Linked DNA regions of Danio rerio. The protein of the gene in region 1 interacts with the protein of each later gene in a pairwise test. Links are inferred from orthologs where the notes say so. Each region holds a gene or a part of one and is shown on either strand. Other genes may lie near its edges.

Region 1 (3,998 bases):
TCAACAGCTCAAAAAATGTGTTTTGGTGTTTCGTGACCCTTTAAGTTTGAGATCTTGCCTTACCTAAGATAGTAAATTAAGGATGTTGTATACATGTAATGGTCAGAAGCAGCTTTACACAAAGAAAACAGATTAAAGAATTGTAAAGAAATGAGTTATAGTGCAAATTGGAAACACTGCTCGAGCTGAGCGCCTAACCCGGATACATCGTCCCCTGCGTGTAAACTTGTAAACAAACACTTGTGATTGGCTCATGAGATCAGCCTGATCAATCGAGTCATGAAATGTGATTATCGGCTGATACCGATATCTGGCCAATTAATCAGAGGATCCCTATAGTCTATATCAGGGCTGCCCAAACTCGGTCCTGCCCAAACTCGGTCCAACCTCGATCCTTGGTCTATATTATAATAATCTGGCCACCATGATAAAAACTAACAAATAAGTCACAACAAGAACATCTAAATCCGCCACAGCCGTACCTGCGAGCGTCCTCCAGGGTAGTGATTCTGCCAGTGCTCCTCCGCACTCTTCGCTCTGCTCGGCCACTGATTGGGAAACTCTCCGTTCACGTAGTCATCATTACTCCAGGCTCCCGCTCCGTCCCGCTCCTGACGCAGACGGCGGAACCGTGGAGGTTTATCCTGCCGTGGTGGACGCCTTCTCCTCAGCGGACGATTATCCGGATTATCATCAACATAATATCCTCCGTCACGATCCTCCACGCCGTTCTCCGCAAACGTGCCCGTGAATTTAGCAGGATACTTCAGCGGCTCGGTGCGCTTCGAATAAGAGTCCGCAACGAAATTGTAGCCGTTTTCCTGACTGGAGGAACTCCCGAATTGCGTTCCTCTTCCTCTCCACGTTGAAATATCTCTGGTTCCGGTGAATCCGCGATTATACGCGGCATTGAGGCGCGGCGGGAACGAACGCCCGAACACTCTAGATTTGGGTTTCTCGCTTTGATCGTCAGTGTAGACTTTATTGGATCTCCAGGATTCCCTGTCGGCTTTTTTAACCTCTCCTGACGCTTCTCCGCCGTTCTCCGACACCTTCTGCCGAGGACGTTTGGGCTGCTCTTCGTACTCGGAGGTTTCGCTGTGCGTTTCGCTGACGTTTCGTCTGCGCGGTTTTCCCCTCTGCAGATCGTCCCCTCTAAACACTCGGTTTCCGCGTCCTCGTGTGAGTCTCTGAGCGCCCGTGTTGTTGTTGTTATTATTGTACGCTCCTCTATTAGTGTCGCTGCGTCCTCCACGAGCTCCGCCTCCGCGAGAATTAAACTCCCGAAAGCCACGTCCCCGTCCTCGACCGCGTGCTCCAGCGAACGCCTGCTCCTCATCAATGAAGATCCAGTTGTTGCGCCTCGGAGCGGTCGGATCTCTGCTGTCGGAGCAGTCGGATTGGGATTTCTCCCAGCAGCTCTCCTTGTGGAGCTCTTCAGATAACGCGCTGGTTTTCTCCATCTTCAGAGCGTCTGCTTGTTTGTCTTCGACGCTGCTGGAGTGTCTGTTTGAAACGTGCGGAGCGTCTTTCTTCAGGTCGTACACATTGGTGATCACCTCCTTCTCCAGCCTGTAGGGGGCAGAGTTTGACATTCAATAAATCGTAATAATAAATATATTGATATCATGAGCACTTTAAAATACTGTGAATAATAGGGCTGTGTACAATATTACAACATACAACATAGGGACAAATTAAACAGTCTATCGTTAGTATAACGATATCACAAAATACACTGCTTACGCGAAGGATTTTTCATAATTTATTCGAGTGCATCATTGAACGCTTAAATCAAGCGTATACTCTGAAATGTCCTCACTCATGTTTGATTATAATTGTAGAAATCTACTATAAATATTAATAAAATATAATAAATCAACAAAAATAATCGCTAAATACAATACAAACGATTGCAGCTCTGCGGTTTGAGTATTGTGCTTATGAAAAAGTATTACCATAAAACAATAATAATATGGAATAAATGATAGAGCGTAATATGAAACGGTTTATCTTGTCCATATGATATATATCATTATATTGCACACAGCCCCATTTTACAGGGTTTTAAATGTTAACTATTTTTATATAATAAGGCTCCAATAGTTAGCATTAAAATCCCCATTAAAACTACAACAGCTTTTATTAATCTTAGCTGATGTTAATTTCTTATTTAATGCATGATAACGCATTTAAAACAAAGTTGTAATCTCATTATGTCACAATTGCTTGATTAAATGCAATAACACTAACAATACACAATATATTTTTTGTAATTATACAAATTCTGGCAGACTGTGTCAATACCGTGATAATACTGTATATCATGATAAAAGCTTAAGCTATTAAATCGCAACAAGGCAAGGCAAGTTTATTAATATAGCACATTTCATACACAGTGGCAATTAGTAGTGTTTTACATAAACAGGAATGAAAAAGACAAGCAAATAATAACAGTAATTAAAAACAGATTAAATGTGTTAAACAGGTTATAAAAGAGTGAGCCACAGCACAGGGCTCATTCAGTAAAGGCTCAGCTACAGATGTGTGTTCAGTCCTGATGTGAATGAGCCTAATGTTGGAGCACATCTGATCATTTCTGGAGGCTGATTCCAGCAGCAGGGGGCGCTGTTAGCAGCTGAAGGCCCATTCACCCTGCTCTGACTGAACTCTTGGAGTTTCTAGTGTATATGATCCTGATGATCTGACTGATCTGTTAGGTGTGTGTTCAGTCAGCATATCTGTAATGTATTGAGCTGCTAGGCCATTCAGTGATGTATAGAGCAGTAATAATACTGTAAACTCTATTCTGAACGTAACGGAGTCAGTGTAGAGACCTGAGGACAGCTGTGATGTGCGCTGATTTCCCCTTTCTGGTCAGAATCCTGTTCTGGATAACCTGCAACTGTCTTGACTGTGTGTTTGGGAAGGCCAGTGACAGTAATCCACCCTGCTGCTGATAAAAGCATCACCGAGTCGTCACTGGAGACACAGCATCTGACTCCAGCAGTGTGTGTGAGATGATAGTGTGCTGATTTACTGACTGCTCTGACATGACTACTGAAACTCTGATCTGACTGCAGACTCACACCAAGATTCTTGACCTTATTATTTGCTGTTTGACCTTTAGAGCCAAGGTACGCATTCACCTTGAGAAGCTCATCTCTGTTCCCAAACGCAATGGCTTCAGTTTTCTCTTTGTTTAACTGAAGACAGTTTTGGCACATCCAACTGTTAATTTCATCAATGCACTGGCAGAGGGTGCCAGTGGGGCTGTAGTCATTAGGCAGTAAGGCTAGGTAGATCTGAGTGTCATCAGCAGAGCTGTGGTAAGAGATTTGGTTCTGTCTCATTATTTGGCTCAGAGGGAGCATGTAAAGGTTGAACAGCAGGAGGTGCCAGAATCGAGCCTTGAGGGACTCCACGTGTCCACCTCGACCTATGGTCACCTATACTGACATGGTAACCTCTACCTTCAAGATAAGATCTGAACCATTTAAATCCATCATCATAAGCGTACCTGTAGGGGACCGGCTTCTCCTCAGGCTCCGCTTTGGGCTTCTCATTCTCTTTATCCTCCACCTGCAGGAAGAGAGAGTTTATTTCCATATATTCTCTGAGTATTTCATGGCAAAAACAGATAACGCTTAAACAAGCTGTATATAACCTATTCTATACTAAACAAAAGTGTTTAATATTACCATAATATAAAAACTGAATAAATACATATATTTACACACATTTGTACAAAAGCTGTAAATATATGAGCCTTTAAAAGTCTCTCCTGATATAAATAAATGTCTATAAAATATCAAATATTGCCATTATTGACAATGTTTGTTTGTTGTAATCATTGTGAAAAGCTCTAGAGAAAAACTTGAATTGAACAACTGCACTATTGACATTTGGATCGCACCTTCAGAGGCTTGAGCACAGGTTTTTTGATGGGTCCGGTTCTGCGCAGGGTTCTGCCGCTGGTCTCGGAGGGCTGACTGATG
Region 2 (3,998 bases), on another chromosome or scaffold:
GGGTTTACTACGGGTGCTCCGGTTTCCCCCACATTCCAAAGACATGCGGTACAGGTGAATTGGGTAGGCTAAATTGTCCGTAGTGTATGTGTGTGTGTGTGTGTGTGTGTGTGTGTGTGTGTGTGTGAATATGTGTGTGGATGTTTCCCAGAGATGGGTTGGGGCTGGAAGGGCATCCACTGCAAAAAAACTTGCTGGATAAGTTGGCTGTTCATTCCGCTGTGATGACCCCGCATTAATAAAGGGGCTAAGCTGACAAAAAAATTAATGAATATTTGAATCATTATAGCTAGGGATGTAATAAAAACAACATTTTAACTTCCGATACAATGTCGATATTGCAACCATCAGTACAAACCGATACCGATATAAATCCGATATCAGCACAAATTATGAATACTTTACTTTTACCCATTTCATTGAGTCGAATGTATGAAAGGCTAGATCAGGGATCACCAACCCTGTTCCTGGAGAGCTACCTTCCTGCAGAATTCAGTCCCAACCCTGATCAAACACACCTGAACCAATTAATAGTACCTAAAGCAGCACTTGATAATTACAAACAGGTGTGTTTGGTCAGGGTTGCAACTGAAATGCAACCCTGTTTATTCATTTGTAGGGGGGTGTGCTCGTATATGCTGAGCACTGTATGTTTATGAGAATTTAAAACATTGAGTGTTACTCAAATTTTATTTAGTGTCATATCTATTGTCCTTTATCCTGATTAATCGTCTAATGAAATGTTTGGTTGCATTTTTTGTTACTAATTCTAATGTCTGTATTTGTGGTATTTCCCCCAGAATAACAGTTACCAATCCATGACCGACCCATACCTGTCTAGCTACTACGCCCCCTCAATTGGGTTCCCGTACCCCCTCAGCGAGGCTCCCTGGTCCACAGGTGGAGACCCGCCGATCCCATACCTCACTCCGTATGCCCCCCTCAGCAATGGAGACCATCACTTCATGCATGACACTGTGTTTGGACAGCCGGGGGGTCTGGGCAGTAGCATTTATCCACACCGCTTTAACTTTTTCCCCGAAAACCCTGCGTTTTCTGCCTGGGGTACGAGTGGCTCCCAGGGCCAGCAGACTCAGAGTTCTGCATATGGGGGCAGCTACAGTTACCCGCCCAGTTCTTTAGGTGGAACCCTGGTGCCAGACGGGCAAACAGGCTTCCCTAGTGACACCCTGAATAAGGCACCAGGTATGAATAGCTTGGAGCAGGGCATGGTGGGGCTGAAGATCGGTGGTGATGTGACTGGAGGTGGTTCCGGAGTTAAGACGGTGGGCTCCGTGATTGGAGGAGGGCCGGTGGCTGCGGCGGTGGCCACGGGTAATGGTGGGACTCCTATTGGACTGCCGCCCCCTAAGCCCACATCTTGGGCAGCCATTGCTAGCAAACCGGCCAAGCCTCAGCAACTGAAGGTGAAGAGTAAGCCAGGGATGCCCATGGCTGGAGGCACCCTGCCTCCGCCGCCCATCAAACACAACATGGACATTGGCACTTGGGATAATAAGGGGCCTGTGACCAAAGTGGCATCATCATTGCCACCTCACCACCACCACCAGCAGCAGCCTCCCCTCCACTCCCAGGGTCACCTTCCACCTCACCCTCATGGACTGCCACCCCCACCTCAGCCCCCAATGCCGTCTGCACAATCACTTGCCCAGCAGATGGCCATGCAGGGCCCACCCCCTCCGCAGCCTTACCAGAACCACGCCCCTGCTCCTCCCCCGCAAACTCGGTGGGTTGCCCCACGCAATCGCAACCCTGGTTATGGTGGTGGAGGAAGCGTGGACAGCAGTGGCTCCTCGAGTGGTGGAGGGGTCGGCAATGGAGGCGGAGGTGGCCCACCGGGCTCCGGCGCCATCGAGTCCCATCCCGTCTTAGAAAAGCTGCGTGCGGCACACAGCTACAACCCCAAGGAGTTCGATTGGAACCTGAAAAATGGCCGGGTGTTCATCATTAAGAGCTACTCTGAGGACGACATCCATCGCTCCATCAAGTACTCCATCTGGTGCAGCACGGAACATGGAAACAAGCGGCTGGATTCTGCGTTTCGTGCCATCAACGGCAAAGGTCCTGTCTACCTGCTGTTCAGCGTCAACGGCAGCGGACACTTCTGTGGCGTGGCGGAGATGCGTTCGCCTGTTGACTACGGCACCAGTGCCGGTGTTTGGGCGCAGGACAAGTGGAAGGGCAAATTTGATGTGGACTGGCTGTTTGTTAAAGACGTGCCCAACAGTCAGCTCAGGCACATCCGCCTGGAGAACAATGACAACAAGCCCGTGACCAACTCGCGTGACACACAGGAGGTGCCTCTGGAAAAGGCCAAGCAGGTGCTGAAGATCATCGCTACCTACAAACACACAACCTCCATCTTCGATGACTTCTCACATTACGAGAAACGGCAGGAGGAGGAAGAGGTGGTAAGAAAGGTATTTTGCATGCAACGGTCTGTTCTGCTGATCTTCATTGCATTGTTGAAGCTTATGTGAAATCAACATTAACAATGTTTGTTTTGCTAGCATACATTATTATGCTTTATGTGAACAGTTAATCCGTGCAAGTTCATCTTCAAAGTCTGACCATTTGCTTCTGTCTTTGGACTAGCAGTCCTACACTGTTAGGATCACTCTTTACTAGGGCTGGGCGAAAAATTGATTTTATGAATTAACTTGAATGTGCAGTTTACATCGAGTTGTTGAAATGAAATCAGTTATCACTCTAGCTCATTCAACCCTCTCCTTTGGGTTTTCAGAGTTCCCCGTCAGTTTGCCATAAGAACACATTAACAACATGGCAGCGAGTAGGGAAGGACTTGGAGATATATTTCACTCTATGAAATGAAAAAGTATATGGCAATACAAGCACACCTGCCTAAAAATGGCATTATTCAGGGCTCTGTCTTGCATTCACTATGAAACACAGACCTTTGAACCTGCTCTCACACCACACATTGTGCTTCTTGTGGAAGTAATTGATATTTCTCAATAAGAAGTAATCTATTACAATTAATGCATAAGATGTGCATACGAATGCAACTGTTACCTATCTGATGTTGAAATTCAACGTTGCTGTTTTTGGGTTAATGACTCTACCCAGCCGCAGAGACGTTCATTACTAGGTATGGTAAATATCAACACTGTGACAAAACTCGCACAGTGCATCAGTCTACCAGAGGCAGTAGCCTGATGCAAATAAAAGCAATAAAACGTAACCCACTAGCCTAGCGTGAGTAATTTATATGAACTTATTTAACACAAAATAAGCATGAATAAACCTCCGAACCAACCATGAAACCTACCTGAACCTCTGTTTATGTTGAAATAAACAGTAGCACAATCACTATGAGTTTACCTTCTCTGTAATTTTATAACATTTTCAAATTTATATTATTATTAAAATGTATGCAGTCGTAAATAGATCTTGTTAAATTGGATTTTTAAATGACGCTAGCAAAGATTCTTGAGGGAGAGTTTTTTCTTTAGCATTTTTAAATATCCTATTATTATTATTATGTAATTATGATACGCGCAAGTAATTATATAGGTTAACAACTTTCAGCTCCACATTTTTTTAGTGGGGGAAAATTGTACATAAATCAAAAAAAAATTGTGTGTGGGGGAAAAGCATTTTTTTTAAAGGCCATATCACCCAGCTCTACTGTTCACCTTAGCCACATTCGTCTTACCGTTACTAGTAGTGAATGATGCACAAAAAAAACCTGTTATGTGATCAATATTCAATTTCTTTTGAATGTACATTAGGATGCTGAAATAAGTGTTAGCAACTAGAAATTGAAAAATAAAGCTTTGTTTTAAAATCTTTTAAAGCTTAGAGAAGCCTATGCAGCAGTAGTCAACTTTTTTGGCTTAAGATCCCTTACATTGGCTTGGCAGAAAGGCAAGATCTACCCATCAAAAAAAAAAAAAAACTAGAGAAAGCTATATTTCTCATTTGGATTTTCAGCTTGAGACCTTTAATTTAACATT

Evidence for each region.
Region 2: the proteins of prrc2b (region 1) and ythdf1 interact in a two-hybrid assay, tested with the Homo sapiens proteins (2 studies listed by BioGRID, with this or other methods). The link is inferred for Danio rerio from reciprocal best matches to the Homo sapiens genes PRRC2B and YTHDF1.

The regions. Positions count from the first base shown.
Region 1 is NC_133180.1:78,403,503-78,407,500, forward strand, and holds part of prrc2b (protein PRRC2B), read right to left. Parts: coding exon 3,917-3,998; intron 3,583-3,916; coding exon 3,521-3,582; intron 1,573-3,520; coding exon 483-1,572; intron 1-482.
Region 2 is NC_133183.1:25,000,802-25,004,799, forward strand, and holds part of ythdf1 (YTH domain-containing family protein 1), read left to right. Parts: intron 1-800; coding exon 801-2,441; intron 2,442-3,998.